2 linked regions of the Lonchura striata genome follow. Each later gene encodes a partner of the first gene's protein in a complex. Links are inferred from orthologs where the notes say so. Each region holds a gene or a part of one and is shown on either strand. Other genes may lie near its edges.

The links.
Region 2: the proteins of FBLIM1 (region 1) and FLNC are in contact, whole or in part, in an NMR structure (PDB 2K9U), measured with the Homo sapiens proteins. The link is inferred for Lonchura striata from reciprocal best matches to the Homo sapiens genes FBLIM1 and FLNC. Residues at the interface, in NP_001337080.1 of Homo sapiens: Arg8, Val9, Ala10, Ser11, Ser12, Val13, Phe14, Ile15, Thr16, Leu17, Pro19; in NP_001449.3 of Homo sapiens: Thr2339, Ala2344, Gly2345, Gly2346, Leu2347, Ser2348, Ile2349, Ala2350, Val2351, Glu2352, Gly2353, Pro2354, Ser2355, Lys2356, Ile2359, Phe2361, Asp2380, Glu2382, Phe2387.

The regions. Positions count from the first base shown.
Region 1 is NC_134626.1:6,424,110-6,434,041, reverse strand, and holds FBLIM1 (filamin-binding LIM protein 1), read right to left. Parts: upstream 4,215-9,932; coding exon 4,022-4,214; intron 3,645-4,021; coding exon 3,511-3,644; intron 3,433-3,510; coding exon 3,321-3,432; intron 3,232-3,320; coding exon 3,062-3,231; intron 2,970-3,061; coding exon 2,791-2,969; intron 2,702-2,790; coding exon 2,584-2,701; intron 2,279-2,583; coding exon 2,165-2,278; downstream 1-2,164. Other genes in the region: TMEM82 (transmembrane protein 82), read right to left, coding at 7,579-7,644, 7,746-7,933, 9,010-9,418. UniProt on the Homo sapiens protein: Serves as an anchoring site for cell-ECM adhesion proteins and filamin-containing actin filaments. Is implicated in cell shape modulation (spreading) and motility.
Region 2 is NC_134607.1:73,107,831-73,117,549, forward strand, and holds the start of FLNC (filamin-C), read left to right. Parts: upstream 1-5,423; 5' UTR 5,424-6,203; coding exon 6,204-6,540; intron 6,541-8,292; coding exon 8,293-8,541; intron 8,542-8,730; coding exon 8,731-8,828; intron 8,829-9,178; coding exon 9,179-9,329; intron 9,330-9,719. Other genes in the region: OPN1SW (short-wave-sensitive opsin 1), read right to left, coding at 1-139, 755-1,097.

The sequences.
Region 1 (9,932 bases):
AGGCCAAGGACAGGCTGAGCCACTGCAGCCGATGGCAGTGGGACAGGATCCAGCCCCAGCCCTGCAGGATCTCCTGCATGCGGCTCAGAATTCCTCGAGCTCCTCCCAAGGGAAAACACGGGGCTGTGCTTTTCAGGCAAAGCAATGCTCCCCAAGCCTCAGCTCGTAGTGCTTCTCCCTTTATCCGGGAAGATGCCTTAAATCAGCCTTTTTGTCCTCTTACCTGTGTCCGTGTATCCCTGTCCCTTGTCACCCTCCGCTCCTGAAATACCACGTCAAATCTGACCACGCCACATCCCTTCACCATGCTGCCAAACGCTCCAGCGGTGCCTTTCCTTTCTCCTTGCTTTCCAGGACCTTCTCCAAGGCTGCCTGTAAATAAAAGCATTTCCCTGCCTGTCTCCAGCCAAAAATTCTGCAGTCCCAGTGCCAACAGCCCATCCTGGAAGGCTCCAAGGGGGAAATACCCAACTCCTTCCCACCATTCCTCTGTGGAAGAGTAGTGCAATTTGCAATAACACATCCAAAACACCGCTCAGCATTGCACTTCCATCCTCCCCAAAAACCTTGAGTGGAAACATATCCATATTACAAAATGCAAACAGCCCTTTGCCCTCTGGGCTTTCTTTTTCCTGCTCCCTTTGGCCACTGCCACATCCTTTTACTTTTTTAGCATTATTTTGATGCCAGATTTTCCTCACAGTGCAAGAAGCTTTGGAAAGTGAGAGGTGACTCAGAGCACAGGAATTCCTTGGCATGGGACAAGGAGTTCCCACCCAACTGGACCCAAAGCCACCAACTTATGTGTCCAGGACAGACCACAACTTATTTATAAATACATTTAAAGCAAGTTATGATCTGATTGATGGCCCAGAGATGCTCATTAAAAAACACTGAGTAATCAGCTTTGTAGATAGGGAAGAGTCATCAGGAAATAGTTATTGATGTGATTAATTAACTATCATTAACCCCTCCACTCAAACAGAGCACACACCAGAGATGTATGTGATCCAAGAGCTGCTGGTCTGGTGGTTGTTTTCTTTGTTTGCAGCTCCCATTTTCCATCAGGAAATCATTAAACATCATCTCATGCTCATGAGATTTTCTCGCATGCGCATGCTATTTTCTGCTCTTGATTTGTGGCTTTTTAAACACTTTCGGTTAAAAAGAAAGTTACGAAGTTTCTCCGCCTGGTTTGCAGCGCCCTCGCAAACAAAACCACTAAGTGCCGCCAACATCAGTTGCACAGATGTTGGGCACGCCGAGAAATGGTCTAATTTCTGCTGGTTTGAGGCCTGGACTGAGAGGAGATCAAAAAGTTTCCACTGGCAGAGCGATATAATCTTGGATAATATGCAGAAAGCGGGCTGTCCATCTTTCCCAGCGTCCCGGCCCTGCGGGATGCTTTTAGCTGGAGTTTTACTGCCTGATGGAGGAATCTGTGCTCCGGCTGCCCTCTGCCGGCTCCGGATAGATAGTCAGCAAAAAAACCCGAAACCACACCAAAACCCCTTTTATCAACACCACGAAACATCGCCAGATCCCATATGCACCCTAAAAACAACACTCGGCTCTCCCCAGGGTGGCAGCAGCATCTGCCATATCGCTGCACCCTAAAATCAATGGTTATGAACCAATTCTCGCCACGCCTAGAAAATCCAAAACTGGCTTTTTTCCCTTAATTTAAACTTGGATTTTATAGGTTTGGAATGCAGGGTGGATTAAAGAAATGAGTGTTTAAAAACTTGGGGTTTTATTTAACTGCGAGTAACTAAATCAGTGCCCACAGCTCTCCACAGAGAGAAACATTTCAGTGAAATGCCAAGGAAGCTTTAGAAGAAAGAAACACCACCCAAGAAAACCAAACTGGCCTTCGGAAAAAGGAGTTTAAAAAAAGAAATGAGGACTAAAACCTCCAGTCCTTATTGCTGCTCTGTCAGGGCATTTTATATTCATGATGAGTGCAGAGCTGTGCGGGGACGTATCCACAGTTCTCCACCCAACCAACCCACCAGGTCAGGGGCCTGGGGACATTTTTGTGGTGAAAACTCAGTTCTGCAGTAATCTGGGGATGCAGCAGGCACCCAGGGTTGGCCATGGGGTGGATCCCACTGGGGGCACCCCCTTTTTGGTGCACTGGAAGATCTTGATGAGCTGCAGGGTCTCAGCAGGACGACTCGTTGCGCCAGTGGATGTGGCAGGACTTGCAGAGGAGGTGGTCGTCCAGGGGGTAGCACCCGTTCTCTGTCAGCTCCGGTGACAGGGGCATCCTACAACTCTGGGGGCAGGAGGGGGAAAGGAAGCCACCTTTTAGAGGTTCCTGTGTGTGTTACATCCTATTTTCCCTGCAAAACCCACCAGCACTCCAAAAAAGCGACAAACTACATCAAAAGCATGCAAAGCTAAAGTTCTCCAAACACATCACCACCACCCAATTGATTTATTTTGCCCCTCCCCATTACTCATAAGATAAACTGAGGGCTAAAACCCAGTCATGGGTGCTGTCATCCCTGTGTCCATGCTCAGCTAAGGTTCAGTGCCACCCCTTTGGTTTTGGGGACCCCTCAGCCCCCAGGGCCGTACCTCGCAGCGGTAGCAGCTCTCGTGGAAGCTGCGTCCCAGGCACTCGATCTTGTAGGTGTCCTCGTCCTCGCGGGGGACAATGGGGCGCTCGCAGGCGCTGCACACCGCGGCGTATTTCCTGATGGGAGCCAACGGGAGCAGCGTGAGCTCTGCAGGGGATGAGCCAAACCCAGCTCCCAGCGTGGGAGACACTCCCCCATGGCCAACCTGTAGTAGTCGGGCACGCAGTACACATCACCCTGTTTGTCCACAGCAAAGCTCTCGGTGCCGATGGCCCGGCCACAGCCAGCGCAGGAGAAGCAGCTGGGGTGGTAGCCCTTGCCCAGGGCATGGACAATGTGCTCCGTAATCAGCCCCTGGCACTTGGCACATTTCTCCAGCGTGGCCTGGAATTTAGGGAACACGTGCCATAAGACACCAGCCCACACCCCGAGGGATGTTCCGAGTGTGCTGGTTTTCCCCGAAGATGGATGGGTACCTGGAAGCAGGTGTCACACGTGGGGCACCCGTCTCTCTGGAAGTAGCGCTGCCCAGCCAGGAGCCGGTGGCACATACGGCAGGTGAAGCACTCAGGGTGGTACTGCTTCCGCATCGCCTCCACCGTCGGCTCCCGGGGCCCCAGCGCTTTGTGGCAGAAGGCACAGATGTCTGCAAGAAGCAGGGAGAGCGGTTAGGAGCTGCGTGCCTCAGTTTCCCTAAGAGGGGATGAGCCCATGCACAGCTGAGTCTCCTCTTACCTCTGGAGCTGTCCCTCCCCGGGTGCCCATTTGCATCCTGCCACTGCCGCTTGCCTGCTTGCTCCTGGGAAAATGTGGGCAGCTTCAATTCAGCAGGGAAGGTGGAAGGGGCCTGGCAAGTGGGGAAGGGCAAAGCCACGTTAGTGGGGAAGCTGAGGCACTGGGGGGTGCTGCACTCTGTTATCCTCACCTGGAGGGTGGCGGGCGCTGCAAGGTCCAGTTGCTGCAGTGCCAGACCCAGCGGCTCCACAGACAAGGGCTGGGGCACTTCAGAGAGGGGCAGGACTGGTGGGGGTGCAGGTACAGGGGCCACCGGGTGGGTTTCTGCAGCAACAGACAGATGTGGGGGATTTAGGGGATCAATAATGTCCAATAGCACCCCGTCACAATAACACCCTGTCACAATAACACCCCAACAGCTTTGCAGCAGCGCTCACTGACCTGCCCCAAAAGCAAACGCCATCGAAGCAGGAGGAGACAAGCAGCACCGATAAGCACCCAGCAATGGAGAGCAAACACAGCCCGTCCCCAGGAGCCGGATCCATGCCGGGTTGCATGCAGGGATTTGGGGAATAACTCCCCAAAACATACCCCAAAATGCCCTTCCGCACGCACATCCTTTAGCAAAGCATCTCTACAGCCTCCTCAGCCCCATTGCCATCCTTCCACATCGCTCGCAGCCCCCCATGGACACCCCTCACCTCTGTAGGGCAGCGAGGGGGGTGACAGCAGGATCTGGGGGTGATGAGCGCCAGGGACCTTGGCATCACCTGGCTGCAGCTCCCGTTGGGTTTTCTCCTTGGTGGCCACGTCCCTCCGTGGTGGCACGAGGGTGATGAAAATGGATGAAGCGATTCTCTTCTCTGCTTTCCCTGGCAACATTGCTGAAGCCATGGAAAGGCCAGATCGGGGGTTGATTCTAGGGAAAATAAGAAAGAAAGAGAGTAAAACTTGCAGGCACACTGGCAGCTCCTGCAGCCGTGCTGCCCTTCGGCATCAACCCACCTCCCTCCTCCCGGAAAGGGAGAAGGAACAAGCGTCCCATCCCACGTCACAGCAATAAATGGTCTCGTGCCTGGGAGGACACAGGGTACAGAATCCTGACAGCAGCTGATATCTCCCATTTTCACACCTCTGTGGCCATATTCCACCTTTTCATAAGCATTTGGATCTCCTGTATTTCCTCTTATTGCTCCTACCCACCTGGGATTAAACTCCCCATGGGCAGCAGGAAGTACCCACCTTTCCTTTTATAAAACAGGGCAGCTATGGGATTTTGCTTTTGCAACCCCTTTTTTGAAATCTTTCTACATCCCCATTCCCTCCCTCCTTATCCCCAATTCCTTGCCAATCACTTCCAGCTCTGCACATCCCCCTCTTTTACTTTTCCAGGTGGGAAAACTGAGGTGTGGTGCTGTGAATCACCACATCCCCGACACTGACACATCCCCTGAGCAGCACCCGGCAGCACAGGCAGGACGCACCCGACCCCGAGAAACGCTGCTCAGGAAGGAAAAGGGCTGTTTGTCCAACTTCCCAAGGGGAAAAGCAGCTGGGGCGAAGCTTCCCCTTCCCAAATGGAATGGACTGAGGGGGGGGACCCTGAGGCTTTAGTCAGGGCGCTGTGTTGGTGAAGCAGAATTCATCCCTGAGGTGAATTGGCAGCTTGAAAGATACCTGTGTGATGAGTTCCCGGTCTCATGCGGCTCTGCTCCCCCAAAATCTCACTCACGGGGGTCAGCACATCCTTTGAGGGGCAGACAGACTCCCCGAGGTGGGCAAAAAGCTTCGCGATGTTCCTGCTGGTGACTTCAGCCTCTGACTCAAGGGATTAAAGAGGAAGGGATTAAAAAGGAAAAAGAACCCCGATCATTTGCTCCCTCTTTCCCTCCCTCCCCGCCGGCTACCGGTGCCTTCGCCCAGCTCCTCACCCGCCGGGGCTACCGCTTTTCCTCCTCCCCAGCAGAACTGCGGAAAACTGAGGGGAAAAAGAAAAGAACAATCATTTAAAAAAAAAAAAAAAAAAAAAAAAAAAAAAAAAAAAAAGTTCTCCGGGGTTAATAGGAACCATGTGCTCATCGCATTCCTCTTTGTGCCGGGGCTGACGGGATCCCGGCAGCGGCACCCCCCGGATGATCCCCCTGGCCCGGGGCCACCGGGCTGGTCGAGGCTCGAGGGGTGCATTAACGGGGGTCCCCCCTTCCCATGTAGCTCCACCCTGGTTTGGGGTGGCCGAGGCCACACTGGAAAGGAACCCCCCTGGTTTCCCTGAAATCTCCTGGGATGGAAGTTCGGGTGGGATTGATGGGAATAGGGCCACTTATGGGGTATCCCCACAACCCCAAAACTGGCATGGGACGCAGCCCTCTAGAGCTGCACCTCGACTCTGCCCTGGGAGCTCTCACAGGCTGCTCCGAGGACGCCCAAGGAACAAGGGATGGGATGGGGGTACATAACACTTGGTGTCCATCTTCCCCCACCCCAAGCAGTCCCGCTGTCCTCTTGTCCCTCACCTGGGGGGTGGCCTTGCAGCCCCCGGGCATCCCCTGTGCAGCCCCACAGCTCCCCGTCCCCCACCTGGCAGTGCCCTGTCCCTTGTGGAGCGGTGCCCCACCGTGTCCCCCCTGCCTGGGAGCCCCCATCCCCTCCCTGGGAGGGTCCCCAGTCCCCTCCGTGGGGGTGGCTCTTGGTCCCCTTGTCTCACCCCAGGATGACTTCGGTCCTTATCCCATCCCGTGGGGGTCCCGTATCCCATATCGGGGTGTCCCCTGTCCCCTCCTGGGGGGTGGCTCTTGGTCCCCTTGTCTCACCCCAGGATGACTTCGGTCCTTATCCCATCCCGTATCCCATATCGGGGTGTCCCCTGTCCCCTCCTGGGGGGGTTTCCAATCCCACATCTGGGGTGGTCCCTACCTGAGGGTGGCCCCTGTTTCCTACCTGGGGGTCGTACCTTGCGGGCGAGGAGGGGTGTCGCCTGCCCGGAGGTGGCCCTGCGGCCTCTCGGGGGGTGACCCTGTCCCCGTCCGTGTCCCCGACCTGGGCAGCGGCTGCGGGTCCCTCCGTGCGCTCCGCGGGCGCGGCGGGGGCAGCGGGAAGGCAGAACCGCCCGGCATCACCGCCCCTTCCTCCCTCCTCCTCCTCCTCTTCCACCTCTCTTCCTCCTCCCCCCTGCCTGCCCCACAGCCCCGGGCGGAGGAAGAGTGGGGCACGCGTCCTTAGGGTGCCCCATGCACCCTCCGACTGCCCCGCGCTCCCCAAAGCGCTCCCTGGGGGCCCCATCTACCCCAGGGTGACCCATGGTCCCGTGGGTGCCCCATATGCTCTGGGATTACCCCCCCCCAGGTTTTCCCATGGACCTTCGGAGGGCTCCACACACCCTCAGGGCACCCAACCCCAAGGGGTGCCCTGTGAGCCCCCCATACACCCCCGGGGTGCCTGCGTACCCCAGTACAGCCGAAATACCTCCATATACCCCCAGGATAACCCCTATCCTCCAATACAGCCGGAGTTAGCCCCATATTTCTTCTATGTACCCTCAGGGCACCCATGTGTCCCCCTAGAGCCCCAGCATGCCCCATAAACCCCTATAGAGCCCCCGCTGCCCCAAACACCCCCAGACCCCCTCCTGCTCCTCCCTGCATTGGGAGTCCATGCCCAGGCAGCCAGAACCCCCCCTCCCCACACTGCACCCCACCTTCGCAGGGCCTGTTGTTCCCTTGCACAGCACAGTGAGGTGCAGCCAGGGGGAAACTGAGGCACAGGGGCACCTCCCAGCCAGACGGTCACCCCACTCAGTGCCTCAGCTTCCCTTCCCAAGGAGGAATTCCACCCACCTCCCTCAACAATCTGCACTGCCACCATCCCAAGTGCCTTTCCAGCACAATGGGACCCCAGCTTGCTCTGCCCATGGATTTTGCTGGAAAAAAACACCTTTATTTTCTGAGATTTATAATCCCCTGGAGGCCCCTGACAGTGTGGCCCAGCTGCCAGCAACGATGGGACATCCATCAGCATCCTGCAATCCCACTGGGACCAGAGAACAAACCCCAGCAGTGCTGCAACCTCATGGAATCCCCCCAAAAACCAGGGGCAACATGAGCCTTCCCCCCAACCTCCTCCATCCTATGGGATGGGGTCGGACTCCTTCCAGGAGCCCTTTTTTCCTTATTCCCCACGGGGGATCTGTGATGGGGGGATTCTGGGGTGCCCAGCGAAGCCACCCCGAGTTCATTTCCGCTGTCCGGTTCCGCCCTGCGGCTCATCGGGACGATTCCTCGGGTCCGGATCCCGACAGATTATCCACGCGAGGCTGCTGGGCAAAATCCTGGCCGGGATGGAAGAGAGAAGCCAAAAAGCCTCTCACCGTGGCCCTGGGGCTGCTGCCAGCCCTCACCCTGCGTGGCAGGGAGGTGTCCCCCCTCTCACCTGCCTCCAGCAGGACTCCAGCAGCACCCCGGAGCGCAGCAGGCACCAGAGCTCCCCCAGCAGAGACACGAAGACGTGCAGGATGTCGGTCCATCGGCCCACGGTGAGGAGGAGGATGAAGAGGCCGCCCATCCGCACCAGCACGGTCCGGAACGCCGACCCCCTGCCCGTGCTCTGCCGGGACTCCTCTGCGAGGACGCGGCATTGGGGAGCCACCGCGGGGACGCTGGGACCTCCGCAGCCCCACAACGGGGACACCAAGCATGGGGTGGCTTCATGGATAGCCCATGTAGCCCCTATACACCCCCAGGACAGCCCTTGTACCTCTTATAGTCCCAGGGTGCCCCAGGTACCCCCAGGACATCCCATGTACTCTCTGTACCACCCAGTACCCTCTATGTACACCCGGGATATATATACACACACCCCCTACAGACCCCCAGGGTGCCCCATATACCCCTGTACACCCCCAGAATGTACCACATACCTCCTTACAGACCCCTGGCATGCCCCATATACCCCTATACACCCCCAGAATGTACCACATAGCCCTTTACAGATCCCTGGCATGCCCCATATATCCCTATACACCCCCAGAATGTACCACATACCTCCTTACAGACCCCTGGCATGCCCCATATACCCCTATACACCCCCAGAATGTACCACATAGCCCTTTACAGATCCCTGGCATGCCCCATATACCCCTATACACCCCAGAATGTACCACATATCCTTTTACAGACCCCCAGGATGCCCCATATACCCCTATACACCCCCAGAATGTACCACATAGCCCTTTACAGACCCCCAGGATGCCCCCATATACCCCTATACACCCCCAGAATGTACCACATACCTCCTTACAGACCCCTGGAATGCCCCATATACCCCTATACACCCCCAAAATGTGCCATATACCCCTTTACAGACCCCTGGCATGCCCCATATATCCCTATACACCCACAGAATGTACCACATACCTCCTTACAGACCCCTGGAATGCCCCATATACCCCTATACACCCCCAAAATGTGCCATATACCCCTTTACAGACCCCTGGCATGCCCCATATACCCCTACACACCCCCAGCACATACTATATATACTACCTATATAAGGACACCCTGCATACCCCCAGTACACCCCATATACTCCGCACAGGCTCCCAGTCTGCCCCTATACAGCCCCAGGTGGGGGTGTACACCCCAGTGGCCCCACACACCCCGAGTACATCCCACAGGCCCCTCGGAGCCCCCCGTACCCTGCATGTAGGCAACCAGCAGGGTGTAGCAGATGGTCAGCGGGGTCCAGAAGCGCACGGCCTCGCCCGTGGAGAGGAAGTCGCGGTTGATGAGCTCCACGGCCGCCAGGTCGGCCACGGCGAAGGTGATGGCCAGGGCGCTGCGCAGCAGGCGCGGGATGCCGTGGCCCTTGGCCAGCAGCAGGATGCAGACGCCGCAGTAGCGCTGCCGGCTGTGCAGCTCGTACAGGGCGCAGACGTGCCGGGCCAGGCGCCGGGCGTGCAGCGCCAGCAGCCCCGCCAGCCCCGCCGCCAGCGCCAGGTTCCAGCTGCGGTGCGGAGCCCCCTCCAGCAGGAAGCTGAGGCCGCAGGACACCCCGCAGCCCAGCGAGTACTGGCACAGCAGGTAGAGCTGGCTGCTGCGGGCGCCCTGCAAAGCAGCGGGGGGGTCATGGGATCCTGCAATCGGTGAGGATGGAAAAGATCTCCAAGATCAATGAGCCCAACCGTTCCCCCAGCATTGCCGTGTGCACCTCTACTCATGTCCCCAAGCGCCTCGTCTAAACACTTGTTGAACCCTTCCTTGGACGATGACTCCAGCACTGCCCTAGATAGCCTGTGCCAGTGCCTGAGCACCCTTCCCATGAAGGATTTTTCCCAATATCCAATCTAAACCTCCCTTGGCTCAGCCTGAAGCCGTTCCCTCTCCTCCTGTCCCTGTTCCCTGGCAGCAGAGCCCGACCCCCCGGCTGTCCCCTCCTGGCAGGAGCTGTGCAGAGCCAGAAGGTCCCCCCTGAGCCTCCTTTTCTCCAGGTTGAGCCCCTTTCCCAGCTCCCTCAGGCTCTCCAGACATTTCCACCTCTGGACACTCCAGCCCTTCAATGTCTTCCCACAGAGGTCCCAGAACTGGAGGTGTCCCACCAGTGCCAGCACAGGGGACAAGC
Region 2 (9,719 bases), on another chromosome or scaffold:
ACGCCGACGCCGATGATCCAGGTGGCCGCCACGACCAGCAGCGCGTGGCGGGAGTTGAAGCGGAAGTTGCCGAAGGGTTTGCAGATGACAATGTAGCGCTCAAAGGCCAGAAAGGCCAAGGACCAGCCTGTCACGAGCCCTGGGGGAACAAGGTCACCGCTGGCCTCACACAACCGCCCGTGGCCACCAGGGCTAGGGGTCACCGCAACGCCCACAGCCCCCCAGGGCATCGGGTCACCCCAAGTCCTACAACCCCAGCAGAATGTAGCAATCACCCCTCCCTTCAGGCCTCAGTGGTCACCTCAGCTCCTGCAGCCTCAACAGCTCACAGGGCTCTACCCTTCCCATGGCCCTTACCCATCTTGCCACCTTCAGCCCCACCAGACCACAATGATCCCAGACACAAATTCCCCAGCCCCAGAAGAACATGACGGTCACCCCCACTTCCAGCTCCACCAGACCCCAGTGGTCACCCCAACTCCTACAGTCCCACCAGAGTACAGTGGTCAGCTCCTTAAGGTCCAGAAGGTCACCCCAATCCTGCACCCCAGCAGCCCATGGTGGTCAACCCAACTCCCAAAGCCTCAGCAGAACGTGTTGGTCATGATATCTGAGCCCTACCAGACCTTGGTGGTCACCCCAACTCCCACGGCCCCAGGAGATCACTGTGGCCACCTCTGGCCCCAGTAGCCCCCAGTGGTCGCTCCATCGTCTCTGGCCACAGCAGCCTGAGCGCCCCATGGTCCCCTCGTACCTCCGGTGGCCCCTGCAAAGCCCTCAAAGGCACACATGTGCTTCCCGAAGACAAAGTATCCCTGGGAGCTGGCGATGAAGACGGTGAAGATGCAGAAGACGCAGCACATGAGGCCGGCAACGGAGATGTTCACCAGGATGTAGTTGAGCGGCTGCCGCAGCTTCTTGTACTTGATGGTGACGATGAGGACGATGGCGTTCAGGGGGGTGCCCGCCACGAACACCAAGCCCATGAAGATGGTCTGCAGGTAGAAGGCCCACACGGGCGCGATGTGGTACTGGGGCCCATCCCAGGGCCCCACCGACGACTGGTTCTTGAACAGGTAGAACTCTTCCTCGTCCATGGTGGCGCTGGCGGGGGGGGCGCCCACCCCCCTGATATACCCTGCGCCCCCAAAGCTGCTTAGGGGGGATCAGGGCTCAGCCCGGCCAAACTTGGGGATTAGGGTGGGCTAAACCGGGCTCAGCCCCTAATCGGGCCCCTGAGCCGGGTGAGCCGATTGCTGGTGCTCTGGAGGATTGGGGGGGGGGGGGGGGGGGCAGAAGGGCTCCCCCCAACATCTGGGTATGGGGAGGGTCCCCAGGGGGCTCCAAGCTTGATCCTGCTCCTCCTGAGGTGTTCAGGTGTCCCCAGGTGTTCCCAAGCCCAAGGCTTGGTCCCCAGCCTTAGTTCTGATCCCACCAGGGTCCTCAGTGTGCCCCAGGGGGTCCCCAAGCTGTGTCCTGGTCACCCCCAGAATGGCCAGGTGCCCCTAGGATCCCCAGGGGTCCCCAGGTGCTCCAGCCTTGATCCCACTCCCCCAGGGTGCCGCAGCCCTGGATGCTTTGGGAAGAACTTGGAGTTTCCTCATGAACTCACCCGCTGCCCCCCACCCCAGCACCCCAGGGTGCCCCCCAGGTGTCTCCCCTCTCAAGCAATTGTCCCCAGTTCTGGGCTTGGGGCATCCCTGTGCTGGGGAGACTCCAAGTGAGGTGTAGGAGTCTGGGGGTATCAAGGGGTGGGGGGAAGACTGGGGGGGCACTGCTTGAGGTGGGGTGTCTGAGAGGGGGTGTTCATTTTGGGGGTGCAGTGACAGGGGGTCATGGATGGGGGGTCACTTTGGGGGTGTGCTGCTGGGACTTGAGTCCCAGAAGACTCCCAGCGTTTCCTGCCCTCCCACCCCCCTCTTTCCCTCCCTCAGCCTGTGGCACCCCCGGGGAACAGGAAGGATGAACAGAAGCTGCTTAGGGAGGGATTACAGTGCCCCCCCGGGCTGGGGGCGCCTATAAAGGCTGGTGCAGGGACCTCACTGTGGCACCCCGGGACCCCCAGGGAAGGGGGATCTCATTTGTGGGGAGGGGGACACCCTCAGGGAACGCTGTGCCCTGAGTGTGTGGGGGGTGCCCACCCTGGGGTGTCCTGGGGCACCCTGAGCTTCTGTCCAGCTCTGGGTCAGAGATGGGGCCAGGGAAGGAACAGGGGGATTGGCTGGGCTGAACCCCCAGCCCATGTTTTACTGGGCTGTACTGGATCATACTGGCCTGTACTGTACTGGTTTGTACTGGGCTGTACTGGACTACATTGGGCTGTACTGCACTGTATTGTGCCATGGCATTGCACTGTGCCCTGTTGGGTTGTACTGGGTTTGGTCATACTGTACCAGGCTCTACCGGGCCGTACTGGGCTGTACTGGGCCGTACCGGGTAGGGTCAGCTCTGCTGGTGCTCTACTAGGCGTCCCATGGAGGGGCACCCCCAAATGGGTGCTCCAGGGTGGTGTCCCAGGGTGGTGCCCCAGGGTGGTGACCCAGGGGACAGACACCCCACAAAGGGTCCCCCCGCTGTGTCCCCTGTGGAGCCGCGGCCACTGTGGGCACTGTGGGCTGCGGAGAGGGCTACAGCGCAGGGGCTGTGGGGGACGGCAGAGCTGGGGCACGACGGAGCTGTCAGCCTCGGCAGGGGCTGCCCGGGGGGGTTTGGGGTGCCCATCCCCACAGGTGTCCAAGGGAGGCCTGGAGGTGGCACCCAGGGTTCCGGGACAAGGAGAAGTCAGGCACAGCTTGGACTCCATGGCCGGGAGGGCTTTTCCAGCCTCAGGGGCTCTGTGGTTCTGTGATTCTGGGATTGTGGATGGAGCAGGGAAGGGACTTGGGGGATGCTGGGCATGGAGCTCCGGGGCCTGCAGTGGTGGTACTGCCCTGCCAGGACCCCCCACACCACCAGTGCCCACCACCAAGCCCCCAGCACCCACTGGTACCGGCAGCACCACCTCCACACGGGACCCATGGCCCCCCAGGCCCCCCAGTGCTCTGTCTCCAGCCCCATGGCCCCCGTGGGACTCCTAGGGCCTCCAAGTCGCTGCTCTTGTGCCCTCCTGGATGTGGCCCCACACATGTCCCTGCTGTCCCCATGGCCACGTTACCTGTGTCCCACTGTCCATGTACCCCTCGTTCTCGTGTCCCTTATGTCCCTCAGCCCTGGCCCCATGTCCCCATGGCCACGTCCCCAGTGCCCCCCTCTTCCCCTCTCTGTGCCCCCAGGCTGCCGATGACCCCCTCCCCATGTCACCCCACCCTGAGGACCCTGAGTGCTTCCAGCCCCAGTGTCCCAAGGAAACAGCTGGGGACAGGCTGGGGGGACGCTGGACTCAGGATGTCACCACGGGCAGCAGTGTTTCTGCCCTGTGTCCCCTCCCCAGGAGACACTGGCGGGGTCAGGTCCTTTGTCCCCTCGTGGCCTCCACCGTCATCTTCCTCTGCCCTGGCTGTGGCAGAGCCGAGACCCTGGGGGACACTGGGATCCCCCTGGGTCCCCCTGACCTGCCCCAGCAGCATCCTGAAACCCCATCCTGGAGTGCACTGACCCCCCCGCAGTGCCCTGACTGCTCAGAGCCCCCTGGACCACCCTCGACCTCCCCAAACATCCTGACCCCCCCAACCCACTCGCTCCCCTTCCCACACCTGCCAAGGGCTTGGGGGTCCTGGTGAGGGACCCTGTCGCGTTTTGCCCCCACCCCTGTTGGTGCCCCCCCGGCCCCTGCCCCAGGTATTTTGGGTGATGATGTGTTGGGGGCGCCCCCCCGCGTGCCCCCCCGGGTATTTTGGGTGCCGGTGCGTGGCTCTGACTCGGCAGGTTATTTTTAGGTGTTGGCGCAGGCGCCACCGCGTCACCCCCCCCACGTCACCCCCCCACGTCACCCCTTGTCACCCGTTGTCACCCCGGGGTGCACCCGCACCGCCCCCCCTTCCCTTGGAAGCTTCCAGGCAGGCACCGGAACAGGGGGAACACGATACTCCCCAAATCGCCCCCCCAAAGGACCCAGATGTGGGTCACCCGAGTGTCCCCCTGCCCCTCCCAAGGGAGCTGAGGAGGCCGCGGGTGTCTGGAAAGGGGGGAGGGGCACAAGAGAGATTTGGGGGGCAGAGGGGTTTAGGGTGCACCCCAAATATGACCGAACCCCCTCCCCAGGCTTGTGCCATTGTCATGGGGAAACTGAGGCATGGCCAGGGGGACCCACGGCTGGAGTCACCGGAGGGAGTGGGGTGCAACCGAGGGGACTGGGTGGGGGTTCCATGGCAAGAGTGGTCCTGGGGGGGGGGCTTCCCCAGAGGGGATCCTGGGAGGGTTTGTGGGATCTCAGTTGTGCCCCTCGGGGCTGGGGGAGAGTTTTTATGTGTTTTTCAGGGGTTCCCAAGGGGAAAGGGATGAGTGAGGGGGTTCGAGTAAGTTTTGGGGGCGTCTTTGGGGGGGTTTTGGGATGCGTTGTGCTGTGGGGTGCCTGGGATGTTTGGGAATTAAGGTACAGGTGTATCAGGATAACAGGGTGTTGGGCTGCCTGGGCTATAGGGTGCTGAGGTTTTGGGGTGTCGAGGTTGCAGGTATTTGGGATTATTATGGGTGGATTCTGGATTTTGGGGGGCCAGAGTTTCAGGGGTGTCTGGGTGCTGGGATTTGAGGTACCAGGGTTTCAGTGTAGGGAGGCTGGGGTGCCTGGGGGCCGAGGTTTGGGGGTGCTGAGGTTTGAGGGTGCCAAAGTTTAGGCGTGCCGTGGTTCAGCGTGCAAAGTTTGGGGGTGCCAGTGTCTGGGGGCAGGGGGTTCTGAGGTGGCAGAGTTTAGGAGTTTATGACACTGGACTTCAGGGAATTCGGGGAGTTTTGGGGTGTTGGGGTGCCAGCGTTTGGGAGTTGGTGGGTGCTGGCGTTTTGGGGTGCTTGTGTTGGTGAGTGTCGGTGTTTTGGTGGGCCGGCGTTTGAGGTTACAGCGGTTTTAGGGATGTCAGAGATTTTGGGGTGCTGATGTCTGTGCGTTTTTGGAACTGCCACTGTTTGGGGGTTTTGGGAGTGCCGCGGTTTGGGGGAGCTTTGGCCCGGGAGTCCTGAAGTCGGGGGGCTCCGGGGTGTGCTGGGATCCGGCGTTTTGGGAGGTGCCGAATTCCGGGGTTTTGGGGGTGCCGGAGTCCGGGGGTCCGAGGTTTGGGGAGCGCCGAAGTCCGGCGGTCTTGGGGGTGCCGGTGTCTGGGGCTCCGGGAGTGAGGCCGGGGCTGTAAATAGCGACGGCCGGACCCCCCACCCCCGGCCGCTCGGGCGGTCTTTCCGTCCCTCCTGCTCGGTCCCTCCCCGGGACGGGGCGGGCCGGGCCGGGGCAGCGCTTAAAGCCGCCGCCGCCCCCGGCCCCGCCACTTGCCGCCGTCGCCCCTGGCCCAGGAGCGCTCCTGGGACGCCTCGCGAACACACGGGAGCCCGCCGCGAACGCCGCTCCGGGAACTAATCGGGAACCGACCCGGGAACCTACCGGACCCCCCAGCCCTCCGGGACCCGCCGCTCCGCTCCGGGAACGCACCGGGAACCAACCCCACCACCGGGAACTTGCACCGGGACGGACCCAGGACACCAGCCCCCGACCCCGGGAACAGGAAACCCTAGCCAGGACACCAGTACCGAGCAGCGAACCCCTCTCGGGACACCGGCACTGAGACGGGACCCCGTCCTCAGGCACCCGTCCTGACCCCGGGGACCGGGACCCTCCCTGGGCGCCGGGACTGACCGAGGACACCGTCCCCCATCGCCGGGAACTGGGACCCCATCCAGGACACAGACACCCACCCAGGAACCGGGACCGACCCAGGACTGAATCTCCCAGCACCGGGACCCCATAGCGGGCACCAGCACCCACCCAGGGCCCCGCCCGGGACACCAGCTCTGACCCAGGACACCGTCCCCAACCCAGGACATTGTCCCCCAGCGCCAGCTTTGCCACCGGGACCCAGAACCCCACCCCAGGCATCCACAGGACACCGGCACCGCCTTGGGACCCACACCCACGGTGCCAGGATCCCTTCAGGACACTGGGACTGACCCACGACCCCCGCCCAGCACCAGAAGTGAGCCAGGGCTCCCCCCCAACCCTCTCAGGACTCTCCACACCACCCAGGAACCCCTCTGCCCATCGAGGACCCACCGAGCCCTCCAGGATGAACTCTACTTACGAGGCAGCACCGGGAGAGGACCCCGAGGAGCTCCCGGCCACCGAGAAGGACCTTGCAGAGGACGCGCCCTGGAAGAAGATCCAGCAGAACACGTTCACGCGCTGGTGCAATGAGCACCTCAAGTGTGTGCAGAAGCGCATCGTGGACCTGCAGCGCGACCTGAGCGACGGGCTGCGCCTCATCGCGCTGCTCGAGGTGCTCAGCCAGAAGAAGATGGGGCGCAAGCACCACCCGCGCCCCAACTTCCGCCAGATGAAGCTGGAGAATGTCTCGGTGGCCCTCGAGTTCTTGGAGCGGGAGCACATCAAGCTCGTGTCCATCGGTGGGTGTGCAAGGGAAGCGGTGTCCGTGGGTGGGTGGGCACAGGGCGGGTGAGGGTGGAAGGGGAATGGGAACGGTGCTGGAGGGTGGAAGGGGAATGGGAACGGTGCTGGAGGGTGGAAGGGGAATGGGAATGGTGCTGGAGGGTGGAAGAGGAATGGGAACGGTGCTGGAGGGTAGAAGGGGAATGGGAACGGTGAGCGGGCAAGGGCAGGGCCAATGGACAAATGGGAATGAGGAATGAGTGTGTAAGGGTGGGCATGATGTGGGGATGGGAAATTGAGGGAGAGTATACGAGGGTAGGGGTGGACAAGTGAGGATGTGGATGAGTGTGTAAAGGGAGGGGAGGGATGGGTGTGAATAGGGTGAGAGTGCAAGGGTGGGGAGTGGAGGAGTGTGAGTGGAGAATGACTGTGCAAGGAGCATGATGGACAAATGAGGATGGGGCCGTGGGTGAGTGTGCAAGGGTAGGGTGATGGATGAATGGGAATGAAGGATGTGTGCAAGAGTGAGGCCGACGGACAGATGAGAATGGGGATGCATGTGCAAGCGGTGGGGTGGCAGGAGCAGGAGCGGGATGAGCGTGCGAGAGCGGTGCAGCAGTGGGAATGGGGTGAGCGTGCAAGGCTGGCGGGGCTGCGGGCGAGTGTGCAAGGGGTGAGTGTGCGGGGGCGGCGCGGTCTGCGGGCCGACCCTCGCAGGGCGTGCGGAGCGGGGGGGCCCGGCCCGTGCAGGGCCGCGCAGGGGGGCTGAGCTCACGCTTGGCTCGGGGCCGCGGCGCTGAGCTCACGCGCGGGGGGGCCCGGCCCGCACACGCACCCACCCCTCGCGGGGCCTCAGCGCCCACCCCCACCCGACAGCTGCAGGGTGACCCCCCCCGCGCACACGTCCGTGCGCGGCCCCCCTGGCACGCCCGGACCCGGGGGGTGCGAGACCCCCTCCCGCGGTGTCGCCGCCCCCTCCCACGCGCGTCTTTGCCCCCTCTCGGGACGCCCCCAGATGTGACCCCAAGTTTTGGGGAGCTCCCAGGTGCTGCCCCCCCGGAGCACCCGGCGGGGAGGGGTTTGTCCCTCCATCTCCCCCATTTCCTCCCTGAAACGCGATCGCTCGTGGGGGGAAGTGGCGGGGGAAGGAGCGGGGGAGGGTCAGCTCCGCAGGGCGGTGGGGGAGGGACCGGGATGCCTCGGACCCCCCTCCCCCCACAGCCGTCCCCTGCCTCAGTGTCCCCCTTCTGGCACTCCAGGAATCCCTTGGGAAGGTCAGGGGTGTGGCACTCCAGGGCGCTCCCTTGGGGACCCCGGCTGCTGCCAGGGTTGTGCCCCCCCAGGCACTTCCCGGGGGTGCTGGGTCCCCGCAGGGTGAAGTGCTCGGCATGGACAGGGCGCAGTGTCGTGGGTCATCCCTCGCTTCTGTGCCCCGGGGTGTCCCCAGGCAGGTGTTGGGGTGCAGCGTCCCATGGCACCGCCTGGGGTGTCGGGGTGCCCCGAGACGGGTGCTGGGGTCCGCCCGTTGTGCCGTGGGATGTCGGGGTGTAGGGGTCCCTGTGGTGGTGCTGTGGGGTTTGGGGGTGCCCCAGCCGAGTCCCCCCATTATCCCCATTCCCAGAGACAGCCGGGACACGACCCTGAAGCTGATCCCGGGGCCACAGCTGTGCAGGTGCGAGGATCCCTCCAGCGGGTCCCAGGATGTCGGGGTACCCCGGGGGGAGTCCCGAGGGATCTCGGGGTTCAGCCTCCCCGTTTCTCCCCCACAGACAGCAAAGCAATCGTGGACGGGAACCTGAAGCTGATCCTGGGGCTGATCTGGACACTCATCCTGCACTATTCCATCTCCATGCCTATGTGGGAGGAAGAGGAGGACGACGAAGGCCGCCACCAGACCCCCAAGCAGCGGCTGCTGGGCTGGATCCAGCACAAGGTGCCGCAGCTGCCCATCACCAACTTCAACCGTGACTGGCGCGACGGGAAAGCGCTGGGAGCGCTGGTGGACAACTGCGCCCCGGGTGAGGAGCGCGGCGGGGCGGGGGCGTGGGGGGACAGATGGGGGGAGAACTGCGCCCCGAGTGAGGGTACGAGGTGCAGGCTGGCTCGGGGGGCACCGATGGAGATGTTGGGGGCAGCAGGCGCAGAAGGGGGAGGTGGAGGACGGGGGTCAGGACAGGGGTGCGCCCCTGACCCTTCTGGCCCTCCAGGTCTGTGCCCAGACTGGGAGAAGTGGGACCCCAACAAGCCGGTGCAGAACGCTCGGGAGGCCATGCAGCAGGCAGACGACTGGCTGGGAGTCCCCCAGGTACGGGCATGCTGGGGGGTGTGGGGGGCACTGCGGGTCTACAGGTACAGGGTGGGGCACTGGCACTCGTCCAGGTACGGTGCAGGGCAGGAACGGGTGGGGGGCACTGGGAGAGGGTGCTGGGGGTGCAGGGGCGTGCCTGGGGAGTGTCCTTGGGGATCCACAGGCCATTTGGGGTACCCCATGGCTCCTGTGGTAGGGGTGTGGGGGGTTCCCCAGCAGGGCAAGGAGGGCCTGATGGCTGTTGGGGTCTCAGGAGGGTCAGGGAGTGTCGGGGGCCCCTCCTGGTAGTGGGCTGCGTGGTGGGGGTTCCCCGGCAGGGTCTGACAGGTGTTGGGCTTCCCTGCCAGGTGATCGCCCCCGAGGAGATTGTGGACCCCAACGTGGACGAGCACTCGGTGATGACGTACCTGTCCCAGTTCCCCAAGGCCAAGCTCCGGCCCGGGGCCCCCGTGCGCCCCCGTCTCCCTGAGCCCGGCCGTGCGCGCGCCTACGGGCCCGGTATGGGGGCTGAGGGGCTCGGGGGTCGTGGGCAGCTGGGGTCCCAGGGGGGCAGGAAGGGGTGGAGGTTTGAGGGGCACCGGGGGGGCTGGGGACCTGGCACAGGTGGGAACAAAAGGGGCACGGAGCGGGGACTTGGGGGGCTTGTCAGCACAAGAGGGTGTCTGGGGGCTCTGGCTGTCAGGGCATGAGAGTAAACCATGGCCTCCGCAAGCCAGGGACTCCTCTCCAGTCCTGGGGTGTCACCTGTGCCCAGGGACACCCGAGGGAAACCCCAGGGTCTCCACTCCCCACCCAGGGCTCCCCAAAAGTCCCGCTATGCACAGAGACTCCCCAAAGGCCTATCAGACTCCCCTGCCCATACTCAGGAGACCACCATTGACACTCTGG